2 linked regions of the Coturnix japonica genome follow. The main gene of each other region encodes a partner of the protein of the gene in region 2 in a complex. Links are inferred from orthologs where the notes say so. Each region holds a gene or a part of one and is shown on either strand. Other genes may lie near its edges.

What was found.
Region 1: the proteins of OPRL1 (region 2) and PNOC are in contact, whole or in part, in a cryo-EM structure (PDB 8F7X), measured with the Homo sapiens proteins. The link is inferred for Coturnix japonica from reciprocal best matches to the Homo sapiens genes OPRL1 and PNOC. Residues at the interface, in NP_000904.1 of Homo sapiens: Gln107, Asp110, Gly114, Phe115, Trp116, Val126, Ile127, Asp130, Tyr131, Met134, Gln192, Glu194, Ile198, Glu199, Cys200, Leu201, Val202, Ile219, Val279, Gln280, Val283, Gln286, Gln291, Pro292, Ser293, Val298, Leu301, Arg302, Thr305, Tyr309; in NP_006219.1 of Homo sapiens: Phe130, Gly131, Gly132, Phe133, Thr134, Gly135, Ala136, Arg137, Lys138, Ser139, Ala140, Arg141, Lys142, Leu143.

What each region holds. Positions count from the first base shown.
Region 1 is NC_029518.1:96,462,741-96,467,335, forward strand, and holds the start of PNOC (prepronociceptin), read right to left. Parts: upstream 2,855-4,595; 5' UTR 2,728-2,854; intron 126-2,727; 5' UTR 110-125; coding exon 1-109.
Region 2 is NC_029535.1:8,320,390-8,324,695, forward strand, and holds the start of OPRL1 (nociceptin receptor), read right to left. Parts: upstream 2,865-4,306; 5' UTR 2,485-2,864; coding exon 2,202-2,484; intron 1,589-2,201; coding exon 1,365-1,588; intron 929-1,364; coding exon 675-928; intron 1-674.

The sequences.
Region 1 (4,595 bases), on a different chromosome or scaffold from region 2:
AGCCATCGTGGTAGAAGTGGCGGTCGCAGCGCAGGCAGTCCCCCCGGCAGTCACTCCGTGCCCGGGCAAAGAGGCAGAGAAGTAGCAGGTCCCAGAGCACGGCCCTCATGGTGACAACGGCGGGGCTGCAGCCAGAGACAAAAGCTGTGAGCCCCAGCACTGCTCCTAAATGGGTTGGAGCAACGCTCAGCCCTCACCATAATGGGAATGAGCCTCCCTCCCACCCCCAGCTCCATTTTCCCAGGCTATCTCGTGACACGAGTACCAGCAGAGCTTAATTTAGCAGGTGGACATGGTGAGGTGTCACGTCTCAGGCTGTCCCCAAACAGGATGTCTGTGTGCCAGCAGTGAGGCTGAGGACACGGGGACAGCAAAGTTGCCCTTGGTGGCACCTTGATCCCTTCATGCAAAACATGTCCTGGGCAAGGAGACGGGCAAGATGTCTAAAGCCTTCTACAAGCTCCACCAGCAGACCAGAAATCCTCATTTCCTTCTAAAACTGTGATTTCCAGTCTTCAGCCACCATTCTGATGGGCATCCAGGAACCACACATCCAGCTTTGCCCATCGCGGGCAAAGAAGACCTCAGTGGTGACAGCAATGGCTTTGTGACCTGTGCTCCATCAGCATGTTGGGGCACTCTGGGGGGGATTTGAAGGTGGGTTTGCTTTTGTGGGTAGGGCTCAGGGCTCATGTTTTCCACCAGGGTGGGGGCATCATGCAATAGAAGCACTGGGGATTCTGCACGGTGTCACGGTCACCTTCGAGCTCAGTGACACAGAGCCCCGCGGAGCTGCTTGTCATTTGCTAGAGGGAAAGCTGATAAGGAGTCAGAATTAAGGCTTAATCTTCGCCGAGTCTCATTAAAACTGGCTGGCGGCGTGAGTCAGAGGATTGGCAGGAAGCTCCCGGGAGAGGACAACACCCCCCCTAAAAAAACCACTGCAAAACCCCAATATCTCCACAATGCCCCCAAAGGAGGTGTCCCAGTATACCTGGGAGGGCTGGAGTGCAGAGACTGGGGGAATTACTGGATGGCCAACTGGAAGATGCTATGGGGCAGGCAGGATGTGAGCCCCAGCATGAGGGGTGGCACCGCATATCGATGCCCCCTGAAAATGCAATCAGCCCATCTGAAGTGGGGCACCTGCCTGGTTCTGGGGGGATGGAGGGATGCAGAATCCTCTAAAATGTTACTGTGAGCCCCACAGCCCTGGGGTACGCCAGTATCAAATAGAATTATCCTCATTAATAACAGCGTTGGGGTAAAAAGGAGGGATTTGGGTGGAAATACAGCCTGTGGTTCAGATAGCGGCAGGGTCTGGCTCTGACATCAATAACCAGGGAGGAGAGGAGGAGGAGGATGGGCAGCAGGTGCTGCTGTGATGCACTTTCATTCATTCGATTTGGGCTGATTGGGTTTTTTTTTTTCTGCAGAGTGTGAGCTTTGGGCTGAAATCAGCTGAAACAGGGCAGCTCAGGGATGCTGAACCCTGTGTTCCCTGGGAATGTTCTCATTAGGGTTAGGGTCTGTCCCACCACGTGGGGAACAAGCACTGTTCCCAGAGCTCAGCCAGCCCCAATGATTGCTCTGTTTCCTCCTAAATCCCACTATTTCCAGCAGAATGCAAGGCCCGACCTGGAGGCACGGAGCTGCTTCCAGCACGAAACCCCACTATTATCCAACACTATCCCCCACTGGCACGGGTAAAACACTTCCCCTCCTGCTCTCCTCCAGCATAAAAATAATATGAAGTTGCCACCAGCAAAAGGAAAAGGCGAAGGGGAAGGCAACGCTGCCAGCGCGCCCCAAATCTTTGTGCCAGTGGCTTGGGGGGGATTGGAAGCAGCCCCCCCTGCTTCCCCGGTGCTCGTCGGAAAAACAAGCGCTTCCTTTTGTTGAGTCCCTCCATCAGGTAATTGGCCATAATTGGCCAAAATTACAGACTGCGTCGAGATGATCAACACAGATGGGGCAGCGATGGAGCGATTGAGAGGTAAAAGCTTTGGGCAGAGGGCTGCTCCCTGCGCCCGTCCCCATTCATTCCTGCTTTCTGTTGGGGACGGCAAGAATATAAAGGGGGAAAAAAAAAACAAAACGAAAACCCAACCATTTTCCTCCCTTTTGTGCTTTGTCAGAGGAGGGAGCGATGCCTCCTGCTCCAGGCACCTCCCGGCGCATCCCGCGGTGCTGAAGTTGTGAAGTTCCCTATCCCTTTTGTCCTGGATATCAACCCCCTCCCCCCAAAAAAAGAGAAAAACACCAAAAAGGGGTAATTTGGGGTTTGGTAATCCTGTGGTTTCTCCCTTCAGGCCATCGGTGCAGGGATGGAGACACAGAAGCCGGGTGCTTTGTGCCAGATCAAACCCCAAACCCTTTGCATCTCACCTGCCACCCCGCTGCCTCACCGCGCATCGGGCTCCTGTTGCGTTCCTCATCCAGTTTGGGTCCAAAAAGGGATATTTGGGGGAAGGTGAAACTTTTTTGCAGGTGCTCGCCTGGACAAGCATCGTGCATTTGGCTTTGTGGGGAGATATTTCTCTTTAACCCTTGCTGAGGAATGGGAATACGGGATGAATCGAAGCCTCGCCGGTGATGCTTGGGATAAAAAACCCAGCAAATAATAATAAAAAAGCAACAAAAAAAAAAGCAAAAAAAAAAGAAAAAGAAAGCCAATTCCCTCCTCCCCCCTCCCTGATCCACTGCAAACCGAAGCCCATCTCCTACCTGCAGTGTGCTGTCAGCTGCTGGCTCCTCTGCTCTGTGCCTCCTCCGGCGCCGGTGCCTCGGTGGTATATATAGACGGTGTGCACACCCGTCCCCACACCTCCTGCCCGGCCCCCAGCACGTGGGCTGAGCCCACCCCCGGGGGCTGAGGCAGCACTGACAGCTGGGGACAGGGGACGTGTGTCCCCCCCTTTGTGCCCCTCTGTGCTGTGAACCGGTTCCCATCAGTGGGGTGTCCTCCGGCATCGCATTTGGGTGCGTGAATATGGGGTGGCTGTGTTACCCCCAGATCCCTTTCTGCCAGACCTCAGTGCAGTGCCCTCGAGCAGCATGGGGAGAAGATTTTGGGGGAGGTTATGGGGCTGGGGGGGCTCAGCCATGAGTTGCGAAGCTGGAGCATCCACTGAGCATTGGGGGGCACCCACCGCCATAATTTCTTTTAGGGCATAACAGGTTTAAAATGTTGCTTTTTTTATTTTTCACTGATGCAGCCCCAGGATCGGGATGGGAGTCCCGCTACCCCAAAACACCTCTGGGTGGGTGGGGGTAGTGGGGGTACAGGGGCTCATCAGGTTTGTTGCTCCAGTGTGGCTAATGAGTGTGACCAGCATCGATGGCGGGCAAGAGGATGGGGCAGCTCAACGGACATGGGGGGGAAATTACAACTTTTCATTTGGAAAGGGAGGGGATCTCTTCCCTTGCCCCAAAATGGGGTGGATCTGTGGCCCATTGGGTCCATCCCAAAGGTGTGTCCCAGTGCTCCCACCTCAGGGGCACGGCCGCCTCCAGCCCTTTCCCACACCAAGCAGCACTGCCTCTTTTTTCCCATCTAAGTGACCCCATGGATCACCCTGCTTGAAGCCACCAGGCATTTTGCACCACCCCAAGCATCCTGCATGACCCCAAGAAGCCTTCAGCACCCCAAGTATCCTATACTGCCCCAAGCATACTTCATCACCTTGAGCATCCTGTATTACCCTGATCATCCTTCACTGCCCCAAGCATCCCACACCACCAAAGCATCCTGCACTTCTCTAAGAATCCATCATTGCCCCAAGCATCCTTCATGACCACAAGAATTCTTCATGACCACAAGAATCCTTCATCACCCCGAGCATCCTTCATCACCTCGAGCATCCTATACCATTCTGAGCATCCTGCATGGCCCCAAGCATCCTTCACTGCCCCGAGCATCCTTCACCACCCCACACTGGCAATTCAATAATCAAATCCGCAGCACCACTGAGATCATATCTCAGTAATTCCCCCTAACAACTCCCTTGGAAGGGCTGCATAGCAGAGCAAAACGGCTCCTTTTGTTTTTGCTTTGGCTCCGAAACAGCGCGCTTAATGTCCTGCCTGAGACCTCTGCTCTGTGCAAGCTCTGGCAGGCATCAGAAGCCAGAAACCTATGGAACTGCTGAAAAGTGGCAGAGGGGGGGAGCTGGGGGAGAAGCACTCCTCACTGCTTTTGTGGCAGAGAGCTGATTTATTTATTAATGTCCCTATTGCTCAGACTTCCTTCAACCATCCAGGTTGCTGTTGTTTTTGATGAAGGGGTTTTTTCACCAAACCAAGGTGGAGGGAAGGGGATGGCAAGGGGGCAGGCACCTTGTCCCCTCTGGGGGGCATTTTACAGTGGATTTCCCCCAGAGGAATCACCATAGCCTGGTGAGAGGGAATTACCTCCAAGGCTGGGTTTTAACCTAGTGATTTGGATAGGGCTGAGCTGGTAGCAAAGGACATCGGGTGAGGATGCTCGTGGTCTTGCTAATTAACTTGGGGGGAGGGGGTAGATGATTGGTGGGAGGGGTTGCCATCACACTAATTGGGAATAACGCCCATTTTGTGGCATTTCCAGGTCTAGA
Region 2 (4,306 bases):
GCAGGAGCAGGCAGAGAGGTCAGACAGTGCTGCAGGAGCAGCCCAGGCTCTGAGCTGTGTCCTCCTGCAAAGGTCCTCCCAACTCCAGAGCCAGGAAAGTCACCCTTATCTCTTCACCACCCTGTTGCATCTTATTTACACCCATATTTCCCATCGAGGTGGAAAAGCTGCATGAATTGCACTTAGAGGTAAAAAAATGCAAGTCTGAGCTTCCCAATAAGCCCTACACCTCAGAACTTGGTTCAGCTCCCAGATGGAGCAGCAGCTGCACCCACAGCAGGGGGAAGATGTCCCACAGAGCAGTGGGCGCACCCTGCATGCTCCCAACACTTCATGTTCCCCAGGACACCCCACTCCCTACCCAGCAGCTTGCAAAAAGCCCCACTTATGGAGCAGACCTGCTCGCTCCGTTCCATTCTCTGGGTTAAACTTTAGGAGGCACCAGAGGGCAGCTGAAAGCTGGTGGGAACCTTCACCATGCCTAGCAAGGGAGGGGAAAAAAAAAGACCCAACATATAAAACCCAAAGCATTAAACAGACACCACACCATTACCTCTAAAGCACATTGCAATTACCGGAGAATCACCAGCCCTCTCCTCTTGCAGCACTGATTTATTCTCACGAGGTTGCCCTCCCTGCTCCCATCCCTCCCTTGCAAGCTGCCTGCTGCCTACCTGACGATCACATACATGACGGAGCAGTTGCCCACCAGCCCCACAATGCACACAATGGAGTAGACAACCACAATGGTGATCTTGATGCTGAGCGGCAGGAAGCTGTCCCCCGTGCCGTTGTTGAACCAGTTGCTGGGGAGAAAGCTCAGGTTCAGCATGGAGGAGTCGTTCAGCAGCTTTCTCAGGTCGGGGTCTTCCAATATATGGGCAGGGAAGAGGGGGTCCATCATGAACCACCAGCCTGTGCCAACGACCTGGGGGCACCGAAAAGAGAGTTTTAAGATATGCTGGTGAAACGGGCAGTTCAGGGCACAAAGAATGCAAGGGATGCTCCCCAGGAGCACGAAAATGGGATTCAGACTCCAGAGCTCAGTGCACCCTGAGCTCAAATATCTCCACACCGTCAGCACAGCAGGAATGCAGGCTGCACAACTCCATTCCTCCCGGGCACTGGGAGACCCCCACCCATATCCCGCAGCCTGGATGAGGCTGGAAACCCTTAATGCAGCTTCGTGCTCCCCAAACACCCCCTACAGCAGCCTCCAGCCGGGGCTCCAAGCTCACCCCACCCCTCCCCCCCTTCTGTCCAAAGCCAGCTTGCTGCAGCCCTGCAGCATCCCCTGCAAAGCGGTAGGAAATGCCCGAAGTTTAAAAGATACAGAGACACGTAAACCCCTGCTGGCTGCTTACCTGCGTACGGATTTCCCTTCTTACTGCGTCCGCATTCAGGCAGCCCCGCAGGGAACAAAGCCGGGTTGGGCACGGCCGGAGGCTCCGCTGGAGGGGCTGCACCCCCGGAACGCAGGTTTTAAGGAGCAGGGAAGGATGGGGGGGAGAGAAGGAGAAAGAGGGAGGGAGGGAAGGAGGGAGGACGGCGGCTGGGCAGAGCCAGCCCGGCTGCCTGGCTGCTGTCACTGCGTAAAAGCAAAGCGAGGTGGGGGGGGGGGGGGGAAGGAGGGAGGGGATGGATTAAAAAAATAAATAAAAAGGGGGGGGGAAAAAAAGGGAAAAAGCCAAACCCACCAAAGCAGAGCGAGCTCACACCTGCGGGCTCCGTCCCCACCGCTCAGAGCTGCCACCCTCCCCTAGTTACCCCACAGATGGAAGGAGACTCCAGCACCAATACCCAACCCTACCTGCAGTCCCCGGCAGTGTCCCGCACCCACCTGGGGCAGCTCAGCAGCCGGGAGGGCTGAGTGCTCCCGGAACAGAGGTAGAATTTGGGGAATTTAACCTAGAAAGTGGCCAAATGGCACAGAGGGCTGAGCCAGGGCTCTCAGAGCTATGGTGGGCAAAGTGGGGAGGGGTGTAACTGAGAGCATCCCCTGCTTTGTCTCAATTTGAGGAGCACATGGAGCTTCTGACCCTTACCCCCTAATCCTCCCCAAATCCAGCCATGGGATGTGATCACAGCTGTCTGCTATCCCCATACACAGGGGGAAAATGGGACCGTGAGGTCTGCCTCATTCTGATCCCACACCAAGAGCACCCTGCCTGCAGGGCCTCATGCTCTGCTGCCCCACTCACCTGTCACAGATGGTAGAAGCAGTTTTCCAGCAGTTTTTGGGGTGCAGCACACATTGGTATGGCCCAGGAGGCACAGAGAAAGACTACTGCCTCCTTGGGCAGCAAACATTGCTTCTCTTACAGAGTCCACAGGCAGCCCAGAAGAGCAGCTTGGGCCCAGCAGACAGCCCTTGCTGCTCCAGTTCCACATTAAAGCTTGCCTGGGGATGTTTAGCACAGAAGCTGCACCTTCCTCACCAGTAATAGCATGGGAACATGCAGCAGTGTTCCTAAATGCTTCCATGAAAGCAGGTCCCAGATCTGAGAGGGAACAAAGGAAAGAAGCACACAGCAGAGATGCAGCCCTCCGTGTGATGCAGGAGTCCTGGTGTTTGAAAGAGTTTTGGTCAGTCCATTAACAGGCGTGTGAAATAAATTCAGGATGAGACATTAATAGTAAATGGATTGATTTTCAAATGCTGAAGGGAGAACAGCAGTAAATCAGAGCAGAGAGCTCACCTGGACAGCCTTCATGCTGCTCATTGACCTCTCAAATAGGAAAACCCAACTTATTCCTGCTGCACATTCAGTCCCAATCTCTCTGTGTTCTGCTCAATGTGACCCCAACCTAATCCAATCACTGAATCATTTGAGGTGGAAGGGACCCCCTAAAGGCTGTCAGTCCAACACTCCCTGCAGTGAACAGAGACACATCATTATGTTTCCAAGCCCCTCCAGCCTGACCCTGAGTGTCTCCAAGCCCCCAGTTCAATCATGGAAGTCTATATTAACAAAAGAGATGACTATTCCTTCTGTTCTCCCCAGGATCCCCCCCACAGTTCAGTGGGCAGACTGCCATCCTATGGCAGCTTTCTTTCTCATCAGAGATCTTCCCTGCATCCTCTGGGGTCTTCACACCAAAACAAAGGCCAGCAAGATTTCACCTGTGAGGTCCAAAAGGATTTCTCCCAGCCCATTTCTTGGGAAAAGAAAGGGATCAACTCTTCTGGTGGAGGGCTTCTATGCAGACAGCAAAGTAATAAAAGCCAAGAAGAATGAGCCCAAAACAAAACCCTCCTTCCAGGTGATGGCTGGATGAAGCCCCTCTGTCAGAGCTGCTCTGCCACCCTCAGCACACTTTGCGGAGCTATTTAATTAAAGCCGTTGTGAGCAGAGAATTAATTTTGCAAGATGGGAAATTATTTCTAACAGAGAGATGAAGGTAGGTTGGGGGATGCAGAGCGTGCTGGGCTGGTAGGAGAGCAGAGGGTCAGAAACCCATCTATCACTGCAGGGCTGACAGGCACTAAGTGCATGCAAAACTCTAATTAACAACATTTGCACTCTCAGCAATGATGGGCAGGCAGAATGTGTTCTTTGGGTACTGATTTTTACCCCCAAATAGAGCAACTAAGAGTGTGCACAAAGAGAGGCTCCTCATTTCTGCCATCACTGCCCATGCTATAAGCACTGAGAGCACGGCTGACATGCACACCCTTCTCCCATCAGAACTGATGGCAGTGCCACATATCACCATTGGAAGCACACTGATCAAACCACTTGTTTCCCTATTCTAGGCTAAACTATTTAGAAGGGTGAGAAACAACAGGCAGGTAGCTTTGTTTTCTGCCATTAAACACGTTTGTAAGCACAAAAGGTCCTGCTTTGTGGATCAAAAGTTTAAGCTTTTCAAGGGTCAGCTCTGAGCATTGCTGCTCCCTTCAGCAGGTCGGTGCTGAGCAGCATCAAACACTGCATCTTTCAGCACCAAGGAAACAAGCAGAGCAGGTATCAGCATTTCATATAGAAGAACTGCGTGGCAGATAGAAATATTAGAGCAAGACTTTTCCAGAGATGGAAAACACACAGAACAAGTGAGACCTGGGGCAGCCAAGCTGTGGAAGAGCACAGGGCAGTCCCTGCTCAACCTGCAATGGCTCAGCAAGACAGGAGAGATGCTGGGCTCCGTTTATGAGCGCTGACTGCTTCACATAATGCCACAGACCCATGGCAAACAGCATCAGAGGAGCTGACAGGAAGTAATGAACGAAAATTCAGGGCAGAATGGAAAAAACAACCATCTCTCAGGCTCAAAACCACCTCTCCAGAGTCCCTTCTGCAATGGG